Linked DNA regions of Macaca mulatta. The protein of the gene in region 1 purifies or fractionates together with the protein of each later gene. This does not show direct contact. Links are inferred from orthologs where the notes say so. Each region holds a gene or a part of one and is shown on either strand. Other genes may lie near its edges.

What was found.
Region 2: the proteins of DDX5 (region 1) and HNRNPU purify together in Homo sapiens (affinity purification with mass spectrometry; 3 studies listed by BioGRID and IntAct, with this or other methods). This does not show direct contact. The link is inferred for Macaca mulatta from reciprocal best matches to the Homo sapiens genes DDX5 and HNRNPU.
Region 3: the proteins of DDX5 (region 1) and EED purify together in Homo sapiens (affinity purification with western blotting; 3 studies listed by BioGRID, with this or other methods). This does not show direct contact. The link is inferred for Macaca mulatta from reciprocal best matches to the Homo sapiens genes DDX5 and EED.
Region 4: the proteins of DDX5 (region 1) and HNRNPR fractionate together in Homo sapiens (co-fractionation; 3 studies listed by BioGRID and IntAct, with this or other methods). This does not show direct contact. The link is inferred for Macaca mulatta from reciprocal best matches to the Homo sapiens genes DDX5 and HNRNPR.
Region 5: the proteins of DDX5 (region 1) and RBMX fractionate together in Homo sapiens (co-fractionation; 3 studies listed by BioGRID and IntAct, with this or other methods). This does not show direct contact. The link is inferred for Macaca mulatta from reciprocal best matches to the Homo sapiens genes DDX5 and RBMX.
Region 6: the proteins of DDX5 (region 1) and CTNNB1 purify together in Homo sapiens (affinity purification with mass spectrometry; 3 studies listed by BioGRID, with this or other methods). This does not show direct contact. The link is inferred for Macaca mulatta from reciprocal best matches to the Homo sapiens genes DDX5 and CTNNB1.
Region 7: the proteins of DDX5 (region 1) and SMARCA4 purify together in Homo sapiens (affinity purification with western blotting; 3 studies listed by BioGRID and IntAct, with this or other methods). This does not show direct contact. The link is inferred for Macaca mulatta from reciprocal best matches to the Homo sapiens genes DDX5 and SMARCA4.

What each region holds. Positions count from the first base shown.
Region 1 is NC_133421.1:74,397,691-74,400,460, forward strand, and holds the end of DDX5 (probable ATP-dependent RNA helicase DDX5), read right to left. Parts: intron 2,572-2,770; coding exon 2,168-2,571; 3' UTR 501-2,167; downstream 1-500. UniProt on the Homo sapiens protein: Involved in the alternative regulation of pre-mRNA splicing; its RNA helicase activity is necessary for increasing tau exon 10 inclusion and occurs in a RBM4-dependent manner. Binds to the tau pre-mRNA in the stem-loop region downstream of exon 10.
Region 2 is NC_133406.1:4,254,134-4,257,633, reverse strand, and holds part of HNRNPU (heterogeneous nuclear ribonucleoprotein U), read right to left. Parts: coding exon 3,467-3,500; intron 3,179-3,466; coding exon 3,059-3,178; intron 2,329-3,058; coding exon 2,200-2,328; intron 2,098-2,199; coding exon 1,929-2,097; intron 1,624-1,928; coding exon 1,369-1,623; intron 1,077-1,368; coding exon 892-1,076; intron 515-891; coding exon 443-514; intron 1-442. UniProt on the Homo sapiens protein: DNA- and RNA-binding protein involved in several cellular processes such as nuclear chromatin organization, telomere-length regulation, transcription, mRNA alternative splicing and stability, Xist-mediated transcriptional silencing and mitotic cell progression.
Region 3 is NC_133419.1:86,850,702-86,854,201, reverse strand, and holds part of EED (polycomb protein EED), read right to left. Parts: intron 3,081-3,500; coding exon 3,015-3,080; intron 1,583-3,014; coding exon 1,457-1,582; intron 455-1,456; coding exon 373-454; intron 1-372. UniProt on the Homo sapiens protein: Polycomb group (PcG) protein. Component of the PRC2/EED-EZH2 complex, which methylates 'Lys-9' and 'Lys-27' of histone H3, leading to transcriptional repression of the affected target gene.
Region 4 is NC_133406.1:217,695,343-217,699,326, forward strand, and holds the end of HNRNPR (heterogeneous nuclear ribonucleoprotein R), read left to right. Parts: intron 1-1,944; coding exon 1,945-2,066; intron 2,067-2,203; coding exon 2,204-2,816; 3' UTR 2,817-3,484; downstream 3,485-3,984. UniProt on the Homo sapiens protein: Component of ribonucleosomes, which are complexes of at least 20 other different heterogeneous nuclear ribonucleoproteins (hnRNP). hnRNP play an important role in processing of precursor mRNA in the nucleus.
Region 5 is NC_133426.1:143,218,700-143,221,243, forward strand, and holds part of RBMX (RNA-binding motif protein, X chromosome), read right to left. Parts: intron 1,223-2,544; coding exon 1,070-1,222; intron 158-1,069; coding exon 43-157; intron 1-42.
Region 6 is NC_133407.1:104,579,637-104,583,133, reverse strand, and holds the end of CTNNB1 (catenin beta-1), read right to left. Parts: intron 2,923-3,497; coding exon 2,862-2,922; intron 1,806-2,861; coding exon 1,597-1,805; 3' UTR 1,585-1,596; exon of another isoform or gene 1,280-1,584; 3' UTR 501-1,279; downstream 1-500. UniProt on the Homo sapiens protein: Key downstream component of the canonical Wnt signaling pathway.
Region 7 is NC_133424.1:11,723,705-11,727,204, reverse strand, and holds part of SMARCA4 (SWI/SNF-related matrix-associated actin-dependent regulator of chromatin subfamily A member 4), read right to left. Parts: intron 3,344-3,500; exon of another isoform or gene 3,341-3,343; 5' UTR 3,313-3,340; coding exon 3,091-3,312; intron 2,186-3,090; coding exon 2,053-2,185; intron 1,274-2,052; coding exon 869-1,273; intron 546-868; coding exon 447-545; intron 1-446. UniProt on the Homo sapiens protein: ATPase involved in transcriptional activation and repression of select genes by chromatin remodeling (alteration of DNA-nucleosome topology).

The DNA.
Region 1 (2,770 bases):
GGACCCTTCTATGGGTTCATCAAAACGAGACTTGTGACTGTTTTAAGAGACTCATGATCACATCACAGGTTTCTGACTTTATAATTTCTATTTAAATAAGTCGACACCTTAAGAACCTCCCAGAAAGTGGAAAAGTGGTATACCCAGACTGAGGAAGTCTGATTCCAAAGTCCATGATTTCTTACACCAGCTTCACTCAGTTGAACAATCTGCATTTCACTGTGATACTACCAAACTACCACCGGATTAAGCGTGGGTAACAGCAATTGAGTTAATGTAACTTAGAACTTTTATCATTAATAAAAGTGCTGTACCAGGTTCAGGAAATAGTTCTTTACAAGTGTTTAAAAAAAGGCCAGCTACAAAGTGCAACAGTATTGCTGAAAAGCAAATCTAGTAATTAACTGCAAAGCTGGGTACTACTACTGCCAGGTGTTTTCCACATTCAGGAATTCACACCAGGTAAGAGGCCTATACGCAAATAAATAAATAGAGAGAATGGGGAGAAAAATCACATTTATTAGTTAAAGACAACCACAGGCTGGACACAACACACATGCTAAAAAGTGGACTGTCTTTTAAAACTTCCAAGGTAAATAGGTAAATTTTTTCCACAGCCCCACAATCATTTCATTAAGTACAAATTAAAAGGCCCACGGTTAAGACATTAAACAGTAAAATACGTAATAAATGCTCCAACCTACCCTCTCCCCCGAAAGCTGCTTCTAAGTTTAAAACCATGAATTTGACTAACCATGCCACTGAAAACCATCCAGGTTACTAGAGGCTGAATGAGTTTTCAATGTCTGAGTCCTAGAAATATCACTCCCTACCCCAACCCTAGCAAATTCTAACTTTACATTTGACATAAGGCATTAACATCGATTAAAGCCTCAGTTTAATAATCAGAATTTAAATGAAGTCTCCTGAAGACTTCTCTTCTGGCAAAACCATGTATCAAACTCTGGAAAAACATTCAGACCCACTTCTAGCTATTACTGAAATAAATGATTAGAAAGTTAGGTTGGTGAGCCAAAGTTAAACCTAAAGCTATCCCCTGGATCTTTCTAGCAATAAACCCATGTTGAACCTACCATGAAAACTTTTATTCACTGTGCTTTTGGTTATGTTGCCTCCTGATTAGTCATTAATTTTAATGAGGTTTTTTCCTTGTGTTGAGTATGAATAGACCTTACAGTTTGAAGATCTCTAAAATTCCCTGAATTATTGGAAAGACATTCATGACTCCCAGCGTGACTACAGTTAAGAGCCCCAGGGAGCCTGTGAAGACTAGAATCTACAAGTAACCTGCACTGAGAACGTTGTGCAAACTCAATCAGTTAAGGAGACTCAAGTTTAGCTCCTGGCCATCTTAAAGAGCGAATGTATGTCTTTCACAGGTTTGTTCAACATTTCAGTAATTCACAGTATAGCCAAGAGCATGAGAATAAATCTCTTGAAAAAAACCAGTTATTTGGAGCTTTTTAAATTATAAATTTTGCCAAAGTCATCCACATTCTCACATTACATAGATGACTTTGTATCTATTTCACTATTCTCTCATTTAACCATACTAGCAAATAAGGAAAAGGCTATATTAAATGACTCCCCTGATGTTGGGAGCTGACAAAGCTTTTATGCAATGTAGCCTATAACTAAAAATTCACCTAAATCAGTTCATTGACTCCTGCAATATAGTTCATTGTAAAGGGCCTTCTGATTCCCCCTGCCTCCCAAATTAAATAAAAAGGAGCAGTCATTTGTTTTCATGATTAAAAACAAAACAAAACAAAAAAAACCAGACCATCTAAGCAAAGTTTTACATAACATTATATATATAAAATAAAGTACAATTTCCACTTAATTCAGTCTTCAAATATTTTTTATTGGAAGGCCATGCATTGCCTTCATTTATTGTATTTCAAATCACTGTACATTTACTTTTGTGAAAACACTGCCTGCATTTTCTAGTACAAAAAAAACCTAAAAATTGTTTCAGGAATGTAGAGAAATATCCAACTTAAATAGCGAAAAAGTGCACCATAATTACTGCTGCACTGCAGTCATTTCTGCAATTCCCATGTTTCTTAAATAACTATCTTGTCAGATAACACACAATATAAAGAGCAATTATGAAAAACAGACATTTACATATACTTCTAAAGTCTTATTGAGAATATCCTGTTGGCATTGGATAACCAATCATAGGTGCGGCTGCAGTAGCAGGATATGCATATGCCTGTTGGTTCATACCATTGTGCATATTTGGAACATTACTTCCGTATTGCTGAGTGCTATCATAACCATTCTGGTAAGTCCCTGTTGGATTACCAGTCCTAAAACTGGTCTGTATACCAGCAGACACAAAATTACTTCCAAAGCTCCCATTAGTGTAATTTGCAGCACTGTAAACACCATTCTGAGTTTTTGCCCCAAAATCTCTCTTTAGCAGGCTAGAGTAACCTCTGTCATAATTTTCCCTGTCTCTAAAGGTATTAAATCCACCCCTTTTGCCCGCAGAGTATCTGTCCCGACGGTCATCCTTCATGCCTCCTCTACCCCTGGAACGACCTGTCAAAAAAAAAAAAAAATTGCAAATTGATCAATTATGTCTATGACACAAATCATTGTGGACAGAAAGAATTAGATCTATTCATTGCAGGCGTGAAATGGTTTTACAGTTTTTCAACATAAGTTTTCCGTTCAAGGTTTTACTCACCCTCCAATACCATTTAAATGGATTTGTAGACAACGATGTGACTCACAACTA
Region 2 (3,500 bases), on another chromosome or scaffold:
AGAAAAAACATCAATAAGCCACTCAAACTGTTTTTAGGAAATGACAATGAATCTAATTCAGAGTAATTTGCTGGAAACAAATTTATACTTGTCATACCTCTGATTTCTACCAGATTTAGTTTTAATATCCCATAATTATCAATACACATTACAAAATGAAACACATCATGAATTTGTTAGTTTACACAATTAAAGCTAACAGTAAAAAGAACTGTATATATTAAATAATATTACTTCATTAAAAAAATTTAACTTATAGCAATTTTCAACCTATTTTGCCTTCAAAAGGTAGATTATGGCTACTACTGCAACACGATTCACACTTTACCCTATTAACACTTATAAACACTTCAATCCCTGGACAGGATCTTTTTCAAGACTGATAAATCTTAGGAACTCAAAATACAATTAATGTACATAAACCACGTAAGAAATTACTTACACCCTGCTGCCACTGGTTGTAGCCCTGAGATTGATTTTTGTAGCCACGATTGTTTCCTCGTCCTCTGAAGTTCTACAAAAAGGAAACAGATCTAAGAGCTCTGGGCCCAATCGCTTGTTAGGTTTGCGGGGGTGGGAGAGAGGAGCAGAAATGGACAGGTTGCTAGCCCCTAATCTTAGGGGGCAATATACAAATTCTGGATACCCTCTGCTGGTTTCTTAGTTTTTATTTTTTATTCATTATGAGAAACGCATCTGACTTGTTAATTAGTACACCTGAAAAAACTCAAAAGTAAGTAGACTCATTTCACCATTACTAGTTCAATTTTCCTTATGTCAATGCCTATCATGTTCCTTATGGACTACTAAGACACCCCAACATAAAGCTCACAACTTTCCAGATTAAGCTATACAGATATCATCATGCTTCCAGGGATCTTTAATCATTACCTGGTTGTAGTTCCCTCTGTTGGGCATTCCACCTCTGTTGTAGTTCCCTCTGTTTGAATAACTACCACGGCCAGGAAAAACAGGGGCACGAGGGTATGGATAGCCGATTCCACCACTTCCACCGCCGCCACCACCTCTCTGTGGCATGTTGCCCCTCCTATTATATCCGCCACGATTCCCAGGGGCTAAAAAACAAGGGATGTTTTAGTTTCATTGCATTGTACCCTACTTATACAGAAGACTCAGGATTCCTCTAGATTGTTCCTTTTTCTCCAAAAATAATTGTTTAAAGACAAAAGTAATGTTTAATTCTAACCATTAACAACATAACCTAGGTGTATTTACTGTCAAATTACATGAATACTAATTACTGTGACAGCATACCATTAATGAGGAAGAAACCAGCTATATCCAAACTATAAAATTATCATTTGTTTCGATCCTGAACTAAATACAGAACACTCAAAATTAACTTGCCTCCTCCTCTGAAATTTCCACCACGCATATTGAATCCTCCACGTCCTCTATGGCCACCACCTCTGTTAAACTGGTTCTTGCCACTCTTATTTTTATTGCTTTTCTTTGAGCCAGTGTTCTGTTTCTTTTCTGGTGGAAGAGCCTTTTTGCTTTCTTCCTTATATTGCTCCAAAAGTTTTTGGGCTTCTTCCTTCTGAAGTTCAACATAGGTTATTTCATCAAAGCACTCAGCTACCTCTGGGAGGGTAAAGTTTCCTGCAGGAAACAAAGTCGTATTATTAACTTAGAAACCCACCACAAATCCCCACAATCCTAAAGCTAACAAATTATTAAGGTTTAGTAACGTATTTTCCTAAAAATAAACAGAAATAGACCAAACATATATGCATATTTAACAAGTGCAATTGTAATTCCTGAAGCAGTATTGCTGGAAAAAATGTTAACTTTTCAGAGGAGTAAGTCCTAATAGATATAACAAAGTTACACAAGCAGAATATGCATGGAAAAAAAAAAAAAAAAAGATTTAACACACTTAACAGAATTAAATTAAAATTCCATGCCTTTCATTTTGAGGACCGCATGTTCTGGTAAGTCTTTCCCCTCTACTTCTGCTTTCTTCTGTGTTCTTTGCTTATAGTCTTCATCTTTTGGGCACACTACAACAGCTTTTCGCTGGAAGCCTGCGAACAGGCACATTTTTCTCCTCTGGGCAGCAGCAGACACATTTGTCTTTAAAAAAAGAAATTTATGTTTACAACCCTAAATGTTAATTCTACACCAATCTATCTAAATTATCAGTTAATATTTTTCATCTTCAAAGCTACAGCATACCTGATCCAGAATGAAATTTCGCTTCTTTCGGGCAGCAATCTCAATAAATTTCCCAAGACACTGTGGGGCTCTCTGCAACAGTGTGTTCAGTTTTCCAGTATCTGCCATTTGCTTCTTAAAACCTGCCACCTATATTCAAAAGTTAAAATTTCCCCTTGAACTTGTGAATTTTAATAAGTTATGCTTTTTAAAATTCAACTCTCATCTATATGTAAAGCAGGCAACATACATTACCTTTGTCCATTATTGTTACAAAAACAGGGTCACTTAAACTATGTAACAAGACCCTACACCCTACACTTAATTCTTTTTAGCTTCTAGAAACACTAGCAGCTCCTGTGCTCAAAAACACAGAAGCCTAGCCACCGGAAGGCAGTTTACCCTCACAGAGCTTACTTAAAGAACCAACTTAATCTTGCCTTTCCTCCCACCTTCTTAAGATATTAACAAAATGGATACAGACAAAGGCAAAAGGTTTACCTAGAATACCTCCTAGTCTATCATTTTTCTTTTTTTTTTTTTCTGAGACAGAGTCTTGCTCTGTCGCCCAGATTGGAGTACAACGGCACGATCTCGACTCACTGCAACCTCTGCCTCCCAGGTTCAAGTAATTCTCCCTGCCTCAGTCTCCCAAGCAGCTGGGATTACAGGTGCCCACTACCACGCTTGGCTAATTTTTGTATTTTCAGTAGAAATGGGCCTTTGCCATGTTGGCCAGGTGGGTCTCAAACTCCTGACCTCAGGTGATCCATCCACCTCAGTCTCCCAAAATGCTGAGATTACAGGCGTGAACCACCATGCCCAGCCTTCTCCTCGTCTATTTTAAACACTGAGATGAGGCCCTGAACATTTTACTTACCATCATTTTATCCATAATAGTATTTGTGCCAAGAATGTTGTATTTCCCTGGATTTTCCGCTGCATGCTTAGTAACCCAGGTAGTTTTTCCAGCTCCTGGCAAGCCAATCATCATCACAACCTAGTGAAAATAATGAAATGTCATTAGACACCACCTAATAATTCTTTAAATATTGTTCTATTAAGGCCAATTTAAATATCTAAGTCTTCATAGCCCTTATACTAAGGGACAAAAATTTGTGTTTATGGAAAGAGTAACAGTCAACATAAGGGGAAAACAATGGTTACTTAAGAGAAATATGTACAGCACAAAGTAAACAGACTAATCATCTACCTCTTCTAAATGTCATTTTGTGCCAGTCAAACAATATTCAAATGCCAGTTAAAAAAAAAAAAAAAAATCACTTACTTCACAATCTTTCTTCTCTTCAGGCCCCTTTGGT
Region 3 (3,500 bases), on another chromosome or scaffold:
TGAGAATGTACATGCCAAAGTAAATTATGTGTGTTTTCCAAGAGGTAAAGGAAAGACAGAGGTTTTTAAAGAAAAAAAATGAGAAGGATTACATAATTGTTTTGAAATAAGATTGGCCACAAAATCAGTAACAAGGGTGATGCCAGTCTGAGAGTGGAAAGGCACTTACTGGCAGTATTTTCTGTGTAAGGTTGTGATGGCCTTTGTGCAAGGTTGTGGCTGTGTTTTTTTGTGAGTTATTATGATCAGACATACAACCATGTGAACTCTCTTCTCATGGCTTTTCCTATTTGTCAAGGTTCTCTTGACATTAGTGACTCCATCTTAATGCTGACAAACTGCACAGACTAAAGAAACATTTGCTTCTCTTACCTTTACTTACTGACAGGAGAAGATTTGGATCTCTTGGGTGAAATTTCAGCTCATTGATAGCATTTCCATGGCCAACATAGTGCTACAATAAATTTAAAACATTTCAAGTTTCCCATCTCAAAATCAGTACTTTCTTTTTCATAAATCTTTAGAGAACGTAAAAATAGTTTCACTTAAAGTAGTGGTTCTCAACCTTGGCTGCATACAAAATCAACCAACAAACTTGAAGTGAAAAGGAAAAAAAAAAAAAAAAGGGGGCCCAGGCACAGTGGGTGGCTCATGTCTTTAATCCAAGCACTTTGGAAAGCTAAGGCAGAATCGCTTGAGGTCAGGAGTTCAGGACCAGCCAAGGCAATGTAGCAAGACTCTGTCTTCATACACACACACAAAAAAAACTAAAAATTGGCCCCAGCTACTTGAGAGGCTGAGGCAGGAGGATCACTTGAGCCCAGGAGACGGGCTGCAGTGAGCTATAATCATGCCACTACATTCCAGCCCGGGCAAAGGAGTGAGACACTGTCTAAGAACAACAACAACAAAAAAAAGCAGAAAAAAAAAAGATGCTCAAAACTCCACCTGCAGATATTCTGATCGGATTAGCGGAGGCTCCAATATGTGTAGGGTTTAAAAGATCCTCAGGTGATTCTGATGTGTCCCCACAGTTAAAAACAGCTGATGAAAGTGATTTGAAAAACTTCTCTTCTTATCAACTTCCTAGGCTTCATCTTTATGTTCCTTACAAAGTCCCTTTGACAACCCCCCTCCAGTTTAGGTGTCTTGGAAAATGGACTCGCTCTTATTGTTCATTTAGAGCCTCTCAAGGCAAACCAAGACAAGGGTGAAGGAGGTAAATTATTTAAAAAGAAAACACTACAAATATTAACATTTCTCCACTTATTCCTCAATTTACATTACCCAAATGTGACAAAGGTCTCAAAAGATTCATCTAAAGAGAGCAGTAAGAAAAGTACAAATCAAATCAGAAATGTTACATTCATACCATTAGTTTTAAATTTAACATTACAAGCTTTTACAGTTGTGGATTCAAAAGAAGCAGATCTACAATTCAACCAGAAAAACCCACCTTTATACACTGCATTGTTATAGGATTAATTATCCTAATTATGCCTCTAGATCCAGCTACAGCCAGCAGAGGATGGCTTGTATTGCTATCGTAGGTCCATGCACAAGTGTAAAAGTTTTCATCAGCCTAAGAAATTCCACAGTTAAGAAACACAATGTTTTTGAAAAAGAAACATGTCAATAATTATAATAGAAATTTACAAAGAACTGCTAAAGGTTTTGACACAAAAGTTTTCAATTTTCCTTATACAACCAAATATATACAATGGTAATTTGAGGTCTAAAATCCATAACAAATGATCAAACAAAATTAGTCTCTCCACTCAATTTTGTTTACTCTTTAGCTGCTTGTACAACTACTCAACTCTGTAGTTGTAGTACCAAAATAACTGCAGACAATATACAAACGAATGGGCACGGTTGTGTTCCAACAAAACTTTACAAGAACAGGTGGCCAACCTGCAAGCTGTAGTTTAACCTCTGCTCTATCCCCATACGTCTATAAATATCTAAATAAGAACAATTCAGTTTTCCACTTCTTTCTTTGTGAGATATTCTCAATATAACAACAGGTCACATTTTAGTATCTTTCAGAGAAAACTGAATGTCCTTGCCTTGCCTTGTTTGCTAGGTTTTTCAAATTGATCTGGAAGAAATATCCTATTATTTAGCTTTTACTGCTCTAACTCTTGGGCTTTTCAAATTTTTCTGTTTCTTTATGAACCTGTTTTGCAATATGTTATTTCCTATTTTATTTTTTATATATTATATATATATAATATGCATATATTTTATTTTTCCTAAACTTTTTTTTTCTTCCTAGGCTTCACTGATCAAATACTTGGAATGACTACCAGTCACAACCCAAGTTCATCATTATAACTACAATGAAATGATATATTCTAGACAAGGTCAAAGAAAAAGGAGGTTTTAACCAGTCTTTGCTAACATTTTCTATTACTAGATTTCTAACGCTCCTATCTCTCTAGACATCTGCACCCAACCAGCACATCAATCCCACAATGGATTTTCTTCTTTTTCTTTTTGCCTAGCTGAGTTGACACATACCACAATGGATTTCTAAGGGTCAGGAAAACTAGATACCTGGATTCTCTTGGGTGATAGTGAAGAAATAGGTTAAGAAAGGACACTAACTTTAGGGAATTGATTAATTTATAAAAGTTTTGGTGCACTTATTGAAAATAAATTCCTGCCGGGCGCGGTGGCTCAAGCCTGTAATCCCAGCACTTTGGGAGGCCGAGACGGGCGGATCACGAGGTCAGGAGATCGAGACCATCCTGGCTAACACGGTGAAACCCCGTCTCTACTAAAAAAATACAAAAAACTAGCCGGGCGAGGTGGCAGGTGCCTGTAGTCCCAGCTACTCGGGAGGCTGAGGCAGGAGAATGGTGTAAACCTGGGAGGTGGAGCTTGCAGTGAGCTGAGATCTGGCCACTGCACTCCAGCCTGGGCGACAGAGTGAGACTCCGTCTCGGGGGGGAAAAAAAAAGAAAATAAATTCCTTTGACCAAAGATATTAAAAACCCAGGAAAGGATACATCAGCATCCACGTAAGATTGCAACAACCGGATTTCTCCTTGTGAATGACATTCGTACAAGGTAACCTAAAGAAAACAAAAATACAGTAAATTTCATCTCAAGTATAGAAACATACTCTCTCCAACTTTTAAACATATTTTAATCACAACCATATTTTAAATATACTATAGAAACTACTGCTTTAAAATACCTCCTGTGAGCTTAAAGAAGCCATTATAAAGCTGAATGTTTTACATAATACACAGAGTATATTAAATACTCCAGTAATAATGGTTTTGATTTCCAAACTTTTAAACTTATATTTCATCCATTTGATTGCACCAACTCTTCAAAGTGAATAAAGTTAAAAACCCCAAAGTAGTTGTGGTTTATCATCCCTTAATTCATAATTAAAAAGTTTTTGGAGACCAGGCACAGTGGCTCACTTAATGCCAGCACTGTGGGAGGCTGAGACAGGTGGATCGCTTGAGCCCAGGAGTTTGAGA
Region 4 (3,984 bases), on another chromosome or scaffold:
TAAAAATTAGCTGCTGTAAACACTAAATAGGTAATGAATATATTATAACTACTTAGTTTACCTCAGTTTGTGTACCTATGAAGGAAACTGAGTGGTGTACATGACTCATACAGTATTTGAGTAGATGTATTGTGATGAGGGTATGATTAGTTTTACCTTTATTTAATCATTTTAGAGTTAAAATAGCATTCACTATGTTTTACTGATTTCAGTAATTGTTAGAGATATCTCTTGTGTATAATAGTTGATTTAGTCTTTGATGATAATAAGTATGAAGAAAGTATTTTCATATGGTATTTGGAACACAAAACCTGCTTTCTATTGACAATGGGTTCGGACTATCTTTAATGGGTGAAATTTTCAGTTTCTTTTTCTTGTTCATCTCTCCTTCCTTGAGGTGATGGGAAGCAAGACAAAACACTACTAAAATCTTTTTTATGTTACTGGGAAGATAGATCCAGAATGCTTAGTGACACAGGCATGGTTCTTTTTTGGCATGTTTGGTTGGTGGGATACTACCACCTCTAATTTGAGCATTTTTTGGTTTTGTTTTTTGCCCAGGGTGCTGCTTTTAAAACAGGCTTTCTAGAATCTCTGACTCGTTTATAGTTAATCGGCTTGCTCATTGATGATAGCTAATTAATGAGGCAGTATTGTTCATAAAATTCATAACTTGTCCAAGATCACAAACTCAGTAATAATCTGGCTTTGAAGTATGGAATCTTATCTGTTATACTGTTACACTCTTATCTGTTAATGTGTGGCGTCTGAAATTTTTACTGGTATAGAATGCAGATAACTAATAATTTTATGCTTTCCAAATATTCCTCCTGACTCAACTGGTTTTAAATAACTGGTTGTCCTGATGGAAAATATTTATAGGATGGTTTGCCAAGGAAGCCTATTAAATTATAAAATATCTAGTCCAGGAACTGGGAGTCACCAGGATGGTCGGGGCAGAGAGTAGATGTTTCATTTTTTAATTTATGCCAGGAAGCTTTTGTAAACTTGTTTAGTTGCTTTTACTGAAGCAGTACAGGGAAAATTGCAATCTTGAGGACTAGTTTCATTTTTGTCTAGATACTTATAAATCACTAATAGCTCGTTATAAATAGAACATTTTTTTATGTGTGCCCAGAGTGGGGAGAAAGGTATAGGGAAACAAAAAATAAAATATGAGGAGGTGACATTTTGTTACTGAGTACCTGAACCTTTTGATGTATGGCAGAGGTTGTTGGGTGGAACAACATGAACAAAGGGCTAGAACATGGAATGTTTGATTACTGCTTTCTACGTAATTGCTTGAGTCTTCATTAGTCCAGGCCTTTTCTGGCTCTGTACTTTAAACTGTTCAAGCAAAATACATTTCGAGTTAAGCATTGTGAGGGAAACCTAGGTTTTTTTGTGTTGGTATCTTGAATTTTACAGATAATCTCACTCTGTAACCTCATTTGTGCTTCAGATCCTTGAAATTTTTGTATAAGAACAGTGTAAGACCTGTATGTTGTATGCTACATGTTTATTTAAAAATTCTAATCCTGAAAAGTTAATCTTTGGTTCGTATTAATATTGGCATTTTTCCCTGGTATGGATTTGCTTCTTTGGTGTGGATTTGCTTCTTAGGTATGGCTTATCTTTTAAGGAGTTAGTTATTTGGAATTAAGGAGCAGCAATAGGTGGCAGCCCTTTTACCTTTTAAAATACAGTATCAGGAGGTAGGTTTTGTTCTAAATGTCATTTACATATAAAAAGATAAGGTCTAGGGAAACGTATTTTCTTTGTGTTTGTGTTTAACTTTCTGGCTAGATTCACCTTTTGGCCATTTAAAATAATTGTGCAGTAAATTATTAAGTATATTAAATGAGTCAAGTATGATAGCATGCACACTATATAAAACATATAGTTTTATATCATAAAATAAATTAATTTTTCAATTTTTTATAGGCTATGGATGAAATGAATGGCAAAGAAATAGAAGGGGAAGAAATTGAAATAGTCTTAGCCAAGCCACCAGACAAGAAAAGGAAAGAGCGCCAAGCTGCTAGACAGGCCTCCAGAAGCACTGCGTGAGTCTACCTTTTAGTAGATATGTCTTTGGACAAGGAATCTCCATTTGATAATGGAGATTGGATTAATAAAACACAATCAGAGTCTTGAAGCAAACTGATTTGTTTTTTCTTTTCTCCCTTCCCTCCTTTGCTAGGTATGAAGATTATTACTACCACCCTCCTCCTCGAATGCCACCTCCAATTAGAGGTCGGGGTCGTGGTGGGGGGAGAGGTGGATATGGCTACCCTCCAGATTACTATGGCTATGAAGATTACTATGATGATTACTATGGTTATGATTATCACGACTATCGTGGAGGCTATGAAGATCCCTACTACGGCTATGATGATGGCTATGCAGTAAGAGGAAGAGGAGGAGGAAGGGGAGGGCGAGGTGCTCCACCACCACCAAGGGGGAGGGGAGCACCACCTCCAAGAGGTAGAGCTGGCTATTCACAGAGGGGGGCACCTTTGGGACCACCAAGAGGCTCTAGGGGTGGCAGAGGGGGTCCTGCTCAACAGCAGAGAGGCCGTGGTTCCCGTGGATCTCGGGGCAATCGTGGGGGCAATGTAGGAGGCAAGAGAAAGGCAGATGGGTACAACCAACCTGATTCCAAGCGTCGTCAGACCAACAACCAACAGAACTGGGGTTCCCAACCCATCGCTCAGCAGCCGCTTCAGCAAGGTGGTGACTATTCTGGTAACTATGGTTACAATAATGACAACCAGGAATTTTATCAGGATACTTATGGGCAACAGTGGAAGTAGACAAGTAAGGGCTTGAAAATGATACTGGCAAGATACGATTGGCTCTAGATCTACATTCTTCAAAAAAAAAAATTGGCTTAACTGTTTCATCTTTAAGTAGCATTTTGCTGCCATTTGTATTGGGCTGAAGAAATCACTATTGTGTATATACTCAAGTCTTTTTATTTTTCCTCTTTTCATAAATGCTCTTGGACATTATTGGGCTTGCAGAGTTCCCTTATTCTGGGGATTACAATGCTTTTATGGTTTCAGGCTTCATTTTAGCTTCAAAACAAGCTGGGCACACTGTTAAATCATGATTTTGCAGAACCTTTGGTTTTGGACAGTTTCATTTTTTTGGATTTGGGATAGATTACATAGGAGTATGGAGTATGCTGTAAATAAAAATACAAGCTAGTGCTTTGTCTTAGTAGTTTTAAGAAATTAAAGCAAACAAATTTAAGTTTTCTTGTATTGAAAATAACCTATGATTGTATGTTTTGCATTCCTAGAAGTAGGTTAACTGTGTTTTTAAATTGTTATAACTTCACACCTTTTTGAAATCTGCCCTACAAAATTTGTTTGGCTTAAACGTCAAAAGCCGTGACAATTTGTTCTTTGATGTGATTGTATTTCCAATTTCTTGTTCATGTAAGATTTCAATAAAACTAAAAAATCTATTCAAAACATTACCTATTTCAAATTCAATTGTGTCCTAAAACATTATTTTATTCGTAATCCTTGCAAGGAATATTGTTTTCAAAGTATAACTGCCTATGTGAGTGATCAAATTCATGCAAAATTTCTTGTCTATTCCAACATGTATTGTGGATATTAGACTGAGGATTAGTCTAAATTCAAGTATTTATTCCAATTAGCACTTCATTGATTGGTGTTCTCTCATAGTCTCTTCTAATTTTGAAATTTTATCTTTTATTTTTAAAAAAAAACAGGTTCATAGACTTTTGAGCATTCTTGCAGGCATTGGATAATTTGTGTTAAAACAAATAAAATGTGGCTGGGAAAGCAGACTGCAATCTATTTTGACCCACATTCTTTATAAGGGATAATTTGTGACTGAAGACCTTATTTGCTGGATAAGTGAATGTACATACAGGGAAAACTGTTAGTACTGTGGCGTCAATTGCACTGCGGACTTTAGTTTTAGTAAACGTGATTGTGACTACCA
Region 5 (2,544 bases), on another chromosome or scaffold:
CAACCTTAATTATTAATTTAAAAAGCTGCAATTTTCTATTACCTGTCTTTAGTAGAATACCCATCATCTCTTGGGGACAAATAAACATCTCTACGAGAGGGCAGTGGCTCCCTTCGAGGTGGACCTCCGTAACTATCTCTTCCACGTGATACAGGAGCTTAAGGAAAATTACATCACTTTTTTTAAACACAGTCAGAGAAAGAAGTTAAAACGTGAACTTACATTCAGGCTATGAAAACGAGACTGACTTCAAAGATGACATTACGGAGGCTAGATCATCTCATTTTTTCTAGAATTTCCGATTCACATTTTAAATTTTTTTCAGTGCTAATTCCATTTATCTAGATCACCTAGAACACATGACCAAAATTTTTTTTTTTTTTTTTTGAGATGGAGTCTCGCTGTCACCCAGGCTGGAGTGCAGTCCTGTGATCTCGGCTCACTGCAACCTCCGCCTTCTGGGTTCGAGTGATTCTCCTGCCTCAGTCTCCGGAGTAGCTGGGATTACAGGCACCCTCCACCGTGCCCGGCTAATTTTTGTATTTTTAGTAGAAACAGAGTTTCACCATGTTGGCCAGACTAGCGTCAAACTCCAGGCCTCGTGATCCGCCCACCTCAGCCTCCCAAAGTACCAACATTACAGGTGTGAGCCACCGCGCCCAGACTCCACAAATAAAGCTAGGGGGGTGTGTGCGTGCGCGTGCGTGTGCGTGTGCGTGTGTGTGTTTTGAGAGGGAGTCTCTCTGTTGCCAGGCTGGAGTGCAGTGGCATCATCTCGGTTCCCTGCAACCTCCGCCTCCCAGGTTCCAGCAATTCTCCCGCCTCAGCCTCCCAAGTAGCGGGGATTACAGGCACCCACCCTATGCCCAGCTAATTTTTGTATTTTTTTAGTAGAGACAGGGTTTCACCACATTGGCCAGGATAGTCTCAATCTCTTGCCTTGGCCTCCCAAAATGCTAGGATTACAGGCATGAGACACCACGCCCAGCCAATTAAACTTTTAAGCATCATTTACCTCTCAATTCTTTGTTACAGTAGTAGCACAGATTGTCATACATGGAACATTTACCTCTCCCTCCCATTCCACTGCTACTGCGAACTGGTCCTGAAGGTGCAGATCTCTTGGGAGGAGGACCCCCACTTCTTGGTGGTGGTCCTCTTTTTACTGGGAGTGGTCCCCTGGAAGAACTCATGTTAAAATTCATGGAATATCCACCGTCATCTACATCAAGAATAGAAAAGAAAAATATTACTACTCACAAGAATCAAGAAAGATATGAGAGTTTTTTTTTGATACGGAGTCTCGCTGTCGCCCAGGCTGGAGTGCAGTGGCGGGATCTCAGCTCACTGTAACCTCCGCCTCCTAGGTTCAAGCAATTCTCCTGCCTTAGCCTCCCGAGTAGCTGGGATTACAGGTGTGCGCCACCATGCCCAGGTAATTTCTTGTATTTTTTTTTTTTTAGCAGATACAGGATTTCACCATGCTGGCCAGGCTGGTCTCGAACTTGACCTTGTGATCCTCCTGCCTCGGCCTCCCAAAGTGCTGGGATTGCAGGCGTGAACCACCAAACTCGGCCACTACAAAATTTCCTTTGCTTCATGAAGAATATGACCATTAGGCCGGGCACAATGGCTCAGGCCTGTAATCCCAGCACTTTGAGCGGCCGAGGCAGGCAGATCACCTGAGACCAGGAGTTCAAGACCAGCGTAACATGGTGAAATCCTGTCTCTACTAAAAATACAAAAATCCAGGTGTGGTGGTGCATGCCTGTAATCCCAGCTACTCGGGAGGCGGAGGCAGGACAATCACTTAAACCTGGGAGGAAGAGGTTGCTGTGAGCCAAGATCGTGCCACTGCACTCCAGCCTGCGCAACAAGAGCTAAACTCTGTCTCCCAAAAACAAACGAACGAACAAAAATGACCATTATTAATTTGGCTAGTCTAGTTTCACTTGTACTTGACGGAACATGCAGTGCAGTTATATAGACTGGGGAAGTAAGAACTGAAGGTAGTCTTAAACTTTTTTTTTTTTGAGGAGTCTCACTCTGTTCCCCCAGGCTGGAGAGTACAGTGACACGATCTCGGCTCACTGCAACCTCCACCTCCCGAGTTCAAGTGATTCTTCTGCCTCAGCCTCCTGAGTAGCTGGGATTATAAGCGCCCACCACCATGCCCAGCTAACTTTAAAAAATAAAAATGGGCTGGGCGCAGTGGCTCAAGCCTGTAATCCCAGCACTTTGGGAGGCTGAGGCTGAGGCGGGTGGATCACGAGGTCAGGAGATCGAGACTAACACGGTGGAACCCCGTTTCTACTAAAAAATACAAAAAACTAGCCAGGCAAGGTGGCGGGCGCCTGTGGTCCCAGCTACTCAGGAGGCTGAGGCAGGAGAATGGCGTAAACCCGGGAGGTGGAGCTTGCAGTAAGCTGAGATCCCGCCACTGCACTCCAGCCTAGGTGAAAGAGCGAGACTCCATCTCAAAAAAAATAAATAAATAAAAGAAAAATGATTTCATTTTCATGTCCAACACCTTGGCTTATCAAT
Region 6 (3,497 bases), on another chromosome or scaffold:
TGACTGATAGGATCATCTGGCAGATAGATAGTGTGGAAGGCTCATTCTGGTTCTGATTATGTTCAGATAAACATCATCACTTAAACCTATTTAATTATTAGTTCAAAGTAGAGTTGAAGGAATTCCCCTCTCCCAATGAGTCACACTTGTGTGAAGGTGATTCAAATCCAAATCCAGGTAGTTAATATTTCATTACCTTAATGGAATCAAACCATCGGGGAGATTGGGGTAGAGAGAGATAGATGATAGACAGTCTGCTTGGCTTTCTCCCACAAAAGCCCAGAACTAATCACAATGTGCAAGGCTGAAACACGTTTTTGGGGGTGCAATGTAACCCAGGGCCAAATGCTGAAGAAACTTGGCAAATTGCATCTAGAGAAGGGCCTCTCTATCGCTATAACAAATTACTTCACTATGTATCTTCCTCAGTATAAAGTTGAGTTGGATAAACTTACCACCCTCACCATTTAATGACAAGAAAAAAAAAGAGTGACACAATCGAATGAATTAAAAGTTTAATTCTGAACCATTTTTTATAACCGCATTTTCTCTTGAAGCATTGTATCACAGCAGGTTACAACAACTTTGGGATAAAAGGCAACTGGTAAACTGTCCAAAACAAGGTTCCAAATAACACCTCTTACTGATTTACCCTACCCATACATATCCCAAATAAAGTTTTTGATCAAAAACATGAAATAGATCCACCTGCTTATTTTAAGCATATTAAAAAGGAAACTAATTGGACCATTTTCTATTTGTCTATTTTATACAAAAAGGCTACACAATGTTACACTTTATTCAGATTACAATTATTAGAGTGATTATGAATTAGTGTTCTACACCATTACTCAATTCTTAAAAATTAGAAATTGCTGTAGCAGTATTCACTATAACTTAACACTACGAGAGACTTAAACTAACAGTTACTGCAAAAAAAAAAAAAAAAAAAAAATTAAAGAGCTACTTCAAAGCAAGCAAAGTCAGTACCATTACAGATATTAAAAAAAAAAAAAATTTAACAAGCAAGGCTAGGGTTTGATAAATTCCATCTTGTGATCCATTCTTGTGCATTCTTCACTTCTTGAGTCACTCCCAAAATCCATTTGTATTGTTACTCCTCGACCAAAAAGGACCAGAACAAAAAGTTTACTTCAATTGTTCCCATAGGAAACTCAGCTTGGTTAGTGTGTCAGGCACTTTCTGAGATACCAGCCCACCCCTCGAGCCCTCTCAGCAACTCTACAGGCCAATCACAATGCAAGTTCAGACAATACAGCTGTATAAAGAGAGAAAGGCTGCTATTAATGTTTAAAACAGCAAATGTTACTCATTTGAGTATTAAGTTGCAAAAGCTGTGGCAAAAAACATTAAAGTTAATAACTTCCACACATGATCACATAACAACCAGAAATCTGAGAACATTCCGATGTTCCAAGACATCTCCTTTCAAAGTATATACCTGTTTTTGTGGCAGATTTACAAATAGCCTAAATCACTCCCACCCTACCAACCAAGTCTTTCTGAAATTCTGTAGGCAGAGTAAAAGTATTTTACCCAAACTGGCTTTTTAAAACTTCTTACCTAAAGGATGATTTACAGGTCAGTATCAAACCAGGCCAGCTGATTGCTATCACCTGGAGGCAGCCCATCCATGAGGTCCTGGGCATGTCCCAGATCTGGCAGCCCATCAACTGGATAGTCAGCACCAGGGTGGTGGCCACCCATCTCATGTTCCATCATGGGGTCCATACCCAAGGCATCCTGGCCATATCCACCAGAGTGAAAAGAACGATAGCTAGGATCTAGAAGAGTCAGGGTATGAACAAAATAGGCAAGAAGGAAGGCAAAAGAGAGAGGAGAGAAACAGACATAGACATTAACACTGAGGTTAGGGCATCCAAAGTTCAGCAGCAAACTTGTCAGAAAACAATGCTTTCTAGCCTCTTCAACTTCTAGCTTTTTTTAGCCAAGTAATTACTCAGTGCCAGACCACCCATGAGACTACACAAATAACGTCTGTTTCCATCAGAGAGGCACACCAGCAGGGCCTAGTCACATCATTAGTCTAACCCTGAACACACTGCATTTACCCCTGTCAGACTTGGGGTTCCCAAGAAGGAGAAGCAGGAATCTACTGTGTGACCACCTAGGCAATGAGAACTCATGGGAAGGAGGATTAAGACAATAATGAGGTCTGGCAGGTGTAATCTATCTTGACAAAAAGTCCAAGTGACACCAACAAAAGTACTAAGGAAAGTTAAGGCACTATTTCAATGAAACCTCAACATATTTTATCTTAGGGTTGACATGTTATTTGTCACAGTAAGAATCTGCGCTTTAGTGGTTTCATAATTAGGTAGAAGCAGATGAGGTTATAAATGTAAGACAGTTGTAACTGTTACTGGTCTACCCCATCCTCTATGTTCATTACCCAGATGTGAATTCGCTTTTCAAGAAAACCCTGATAATGCAACTATGTAAAAACCCACCCCAGATCTGAGCCTAGAGACAGGAGTTTTCCTGTCTTCCTTGGGTAGCTTGTAGACAAAAGGTATTATGAGTCCTCTGGCCAAAAAGAGAATAAAAAGCCAGGTAAACTGTAACATCCTACACTGCAGAGGCCTAGTAGTAGCATGTATTTGTTGGTGGTGTAATCCTATTGCTATTCATTGTGTGGCTCTGAATTCCCTGTGCTCCGTTAAAGATACTGTTGCTGACTGGAATTTAAGAACTGCTTTTAATTGAAGCCATTACTTTTCTGCCAACACTAGTTTCCCAGATGAGCAAACCAGCTCTTCTGATCAAGTTTTAGAACTTTAGCTTGATCTGGAGTTAATCGAGAAATATGAGACGCATACCATCCTGGCGATATCCAAGGGGTTCTCCCTGGGCACCAATATCAAGTCCAAGATCCGCAGTCTAGATAAACAGGCACAAGGCAAGAAAGAATAAAAAGCAAAATGAAAATTCTCAACTTAAAAGTACACTAATTTTTTTAAAGCATACTTTCAGATTACAAAGGAAACAAGTAACTCCAACATTACACAAATACTTAGAAAATGGAAGTTCTTCAAAACTCCACCCCTCAAAGATACATTTTTTTCTCTTTGCACCTCACATTAAAAATACTCACTGACTTGATCTTTCAACAAATACATATTAAGCACCAACTATGTGCTGCCAGGCACTGTTCTACGTGCTAGAGATATAGCAGTTAAAAAAAAAAAAAACAGGCAAAATGCCTACCCCCAAACAGGAGCTGCTGACAGGATGTGTTGTATGAAAGAAAAGTTTTAGCCTGAGCAGCTGGACAGACAAAGCTGACATCAAGACAGAGAAGACAGTCAAAACAGGTTTGTGGAAGGGGGTAGGTGGAGAAAGTTAAGGGCTCAAGTTGGAACATGTTAATAAGATGCCTATTAAAAACCCAAGTAACACACCACTCACTGGTAATTTGCTCTCCTTTATTTATTTATTTTTTTTTTGAGTTGGAG
Region 7 (3,500 bases), on another chromosome or scaffold:
CCAGCCCCACACCCCTGAGGCTTCAGTGTTCTGTCTGTGGCTCTACAGCAGCATTTCCTGTCGTCTCCTCCCAGTGCTAAATCCAACGGAAGCAATTTGCCCTTCAATGCCCATCGCTAAACCTCAGGCTCCAAGAGGGTGGGTAATGAGTCCCACTGTCTCTTTGAGCCCACCAGATGGGAGCCTGCAGCACTTACTGAGCAACCACATATACAGGGCTCAGGGACTGGGTGAAGGCCACGAGGGATGGGATAAAATGACAGTCATTGGGAACTGACTGGCTACAGGGGAGACCTGGGGACCACCACAAGAAAAGTGCAGGCTGCGGTTCGGGCTGGCCACCTTGGCCCTTCCTCCCTGCCAGGGCTCATCTCAAGGCCTGCGCCACCCAAGCTTGCAACGGGGAGTCAGGGCATGGGTGCACCACCATAGAAGAGGGAGCTCACCTTCAGGCCAGGGCTTGGGAGGCCCTCCAGGAGGCTGGCCCGGCATCCCAGGGGGCACGCCTGAGGGTCCTGGGGGGGGCATGTTGGGCCCTCCCATACCTACACGTAGGGAGAAACAAACAAAAGAGAAAATAGTGCTCCCCAGGTTTATGCCTGCGCCCAGCCCCGTGGGCAGCCCTGGCTTCAGGGGACACAGCAGATACACCTATTAACCAGCACCCCCAGGGGAAGCAGGGAGCTGGGGAAACAGCATTTAGCAGGACAGCTGCCCCCACCACCCGAGCACCCAGAAGTGCAGCATGGGCCCGTGCAATCCCAAACCGGGGAACCCAGTTGGCAGCAGAGCCCAGTCTGTCCACTCCTCCACTCACGCCCCAGCCATTCACTCTGAGACACCTGAGGGCCAGGGCAGCCAGCCTTACCATGAGGCCTGCTGTAATTTGGAGGTGCCGGGCCGGGACCGGGGCCAGGGCCAGGGCCAGGGCCAGGGCCAGGTCCTGTTGCGGACACCGAGGGTGGAGGTAGCGTTGGCATCTGCTGCTGCATCCCAGGCATTGGCCGCTTGCCCTGCACCGCCATCTGCAGGTGGTCGGGGAGGGGCTGCCCCCTGGCCAGCATCTTGTAGGCCATGATCTGAGCTCTGAGCTGGTGCAGCTGGTTCTGGTTAAATGGGGTTGGGCCCCGGTTCTGCTGCCCCAAGGCCTGGGGGTCAGCACCATCCAGCGGTGCCCCTCCTGGTCCGGAAGACATCTGGGGGCCTGAAGACGGGCCACTGGCTGGAACTGGACTAGAGGCATGCTCAGAGCCACCCAGGGGCGAGGGGTAACCTGCAGAGAAAGGCCAGCCCACTGGTCACTAGGCAGCCTACGTCTGTGATTTTTACAACTTCTTCCCTACACCAGCTCCTACTCTGAGACAGGGCACGACCAAATGGCATCCTTCTTGAGTCAATCAGGGGCACCTGGAGGGCACGCGCTGGAGACACCTCAGCCCAGTAGCCGGCATGGTGGATTTGGTTTAACCCACGTCTCAGTAAGGTGCTGCTGGTTAATGCTGAGAACCTGTGCATGAAATCACGGCTCTCTCCCGGCCTCCGCCTGCTTGTCCACAGGTGGGGTCCACATCTTCGGGCTGGCTGGGCCCGCTCCCAACATTTCCATTCCCAGTGGAGCCCCTGAGCTTCCCACCCCTGATGACAGCAAGAACTTGGCAAGTCACCCACCATATCACTTCTCAATTGTCCTCGTACAGAAAAGGCACCTGCTGGGCTCATTAAAGCAGAGTCCCAGGCCCTAGGAATCTGTATTTTCAGTAAGTTCCTCAGTGGCATGGGGCTGCTGCCCTGCACAGCCGTCCTCTATCACCCATGCTGAATACGGTCTGCCCCCCAACCAGCACTTCCCCTTCTGGGGCTGCTCCAAGACGAGGTGGCCAGAACAGAGCACCAGCCATGCCACGCCAGACAGCCCTCTGTGGCAGGCCACCCACCTGGCTAAATCATCCTAGGTACTCCCGGAATCCATCCTGTGGGAACCCAGGGGAAGAAAATGATCTGAGGACTCTGGTGTATGACAAACACAAGACAGGAAGGAAAGCAGTTTGGTACCTTGGGAGTGCTGGTCCATGGGGCTGGGCGGGGGCCCCATCCCAGCGTGGCCCCCTGACCGCATCCCCATTCCTTTCATCTGGTTGTAGCGCGGGTCGTCCGACATGCCCTTCTCGTGCATGGACTCCATGGGCTGCGAGAGGGACCATGACAAGGCAGGGTGAGCATGTGGAACGTGAGGTGGTGGCACGGCTATGCGCTGCCCAAGAGAAGCTCGAGGGCACTGAGAATGGCCACCTATGACAACATGCATCTCCCCAGTCCCCAGCGTTACTACACGGCTTGGCTCTAAGGCAGGGTTCTGACACCTACTTAGGCCTCAAGACAGGTACACAAAATAAATGTCACCCAGTGGAGCACGAGCACCTGGGAGACTGTGGCCAGGCAATCCTCATCTTCCACCACCCAGGACCTCCTGTGGCCCCGACACTTAGAAACATCACTTTTCTTATGGATGCTAATACGACCTTTTCTTTCAGATGTTGTATGTATAAGAGAATATGTCCTCTAACCATGCCCAGGGACACACACAAGAGACTTGTGACCATACAGAGGCTTCTCCGCCTCGCTGACTGAAGGTCCTGCTCAGCGCAGGTGAGTGGTAAAGAGAGTGGCTGAGGGGCGCGCCTTGGAGAAAAGGGCACCCGCTGCTCGGCTCTGCGAGCGGCACAGGTGAGCTCGACAGCCAGAACGGGGGAAACAACGTGGCTAAAAGCCTTTTTAGTAATTTGGATGTTTTTCTTCGTTACCAAAAGAAAACTTTGGAGTGATATTCCCAAATTTCCCACGCAGAAAGCAAGGGAGCGGAAACGGTGGGGCAGGTGTCCGCAGGGGCCACGATGTGCTGCTCAGGCCCAGATCATGTGCCAGCACAGGCTGGAGTCCGACGAGCTGACCCCTCTGTTCACGGCCATGGGCCCCGGCGTAGGGGGCTGAGCCAAGGCATGCCACCTCCAACAAGAAGGCTTCCCCCCCGTCCTCTGAGTAAGGCCCTCGGTCCAGAGGCTGCCTGCAGCCCTAGGGGGCAGGGGCCCCTACCTTGTGCATCTGGTGCATGTTGTCCTGAGGGTACCCTCCAGGCCCCTGGGTGGGGATGGGGTGTCCTGCTGAGGGCGGCCCCGGGCTGGGCCCCATCATGCTGTGGGCGGAGCCCGGTGAGGGACCCGGGCTAGGGCCCAGCATGGCTCCAGGGGAAGGGCCAGGGCCCGGGGAAGGACCCGGCCGAGGAGTTCCGCCCAGGGGTGGGTCTGGAGTGGACATCTTCACGGGAGCTGCAGACAGTGGCCTCCTGCTGGCAGAAAGTCCCAGTCAGTCTGGGGTTCACGACCCAGGGTGAGGCAGGACAGGGATAGCAAGGGACATCAGAATCTCCTTCCGACAGGAAGCCAGCACCTTTCACCCCAGTCACCTGAACCTTTTCTTCACGACCACTCTCAGAGGAAGTGCAA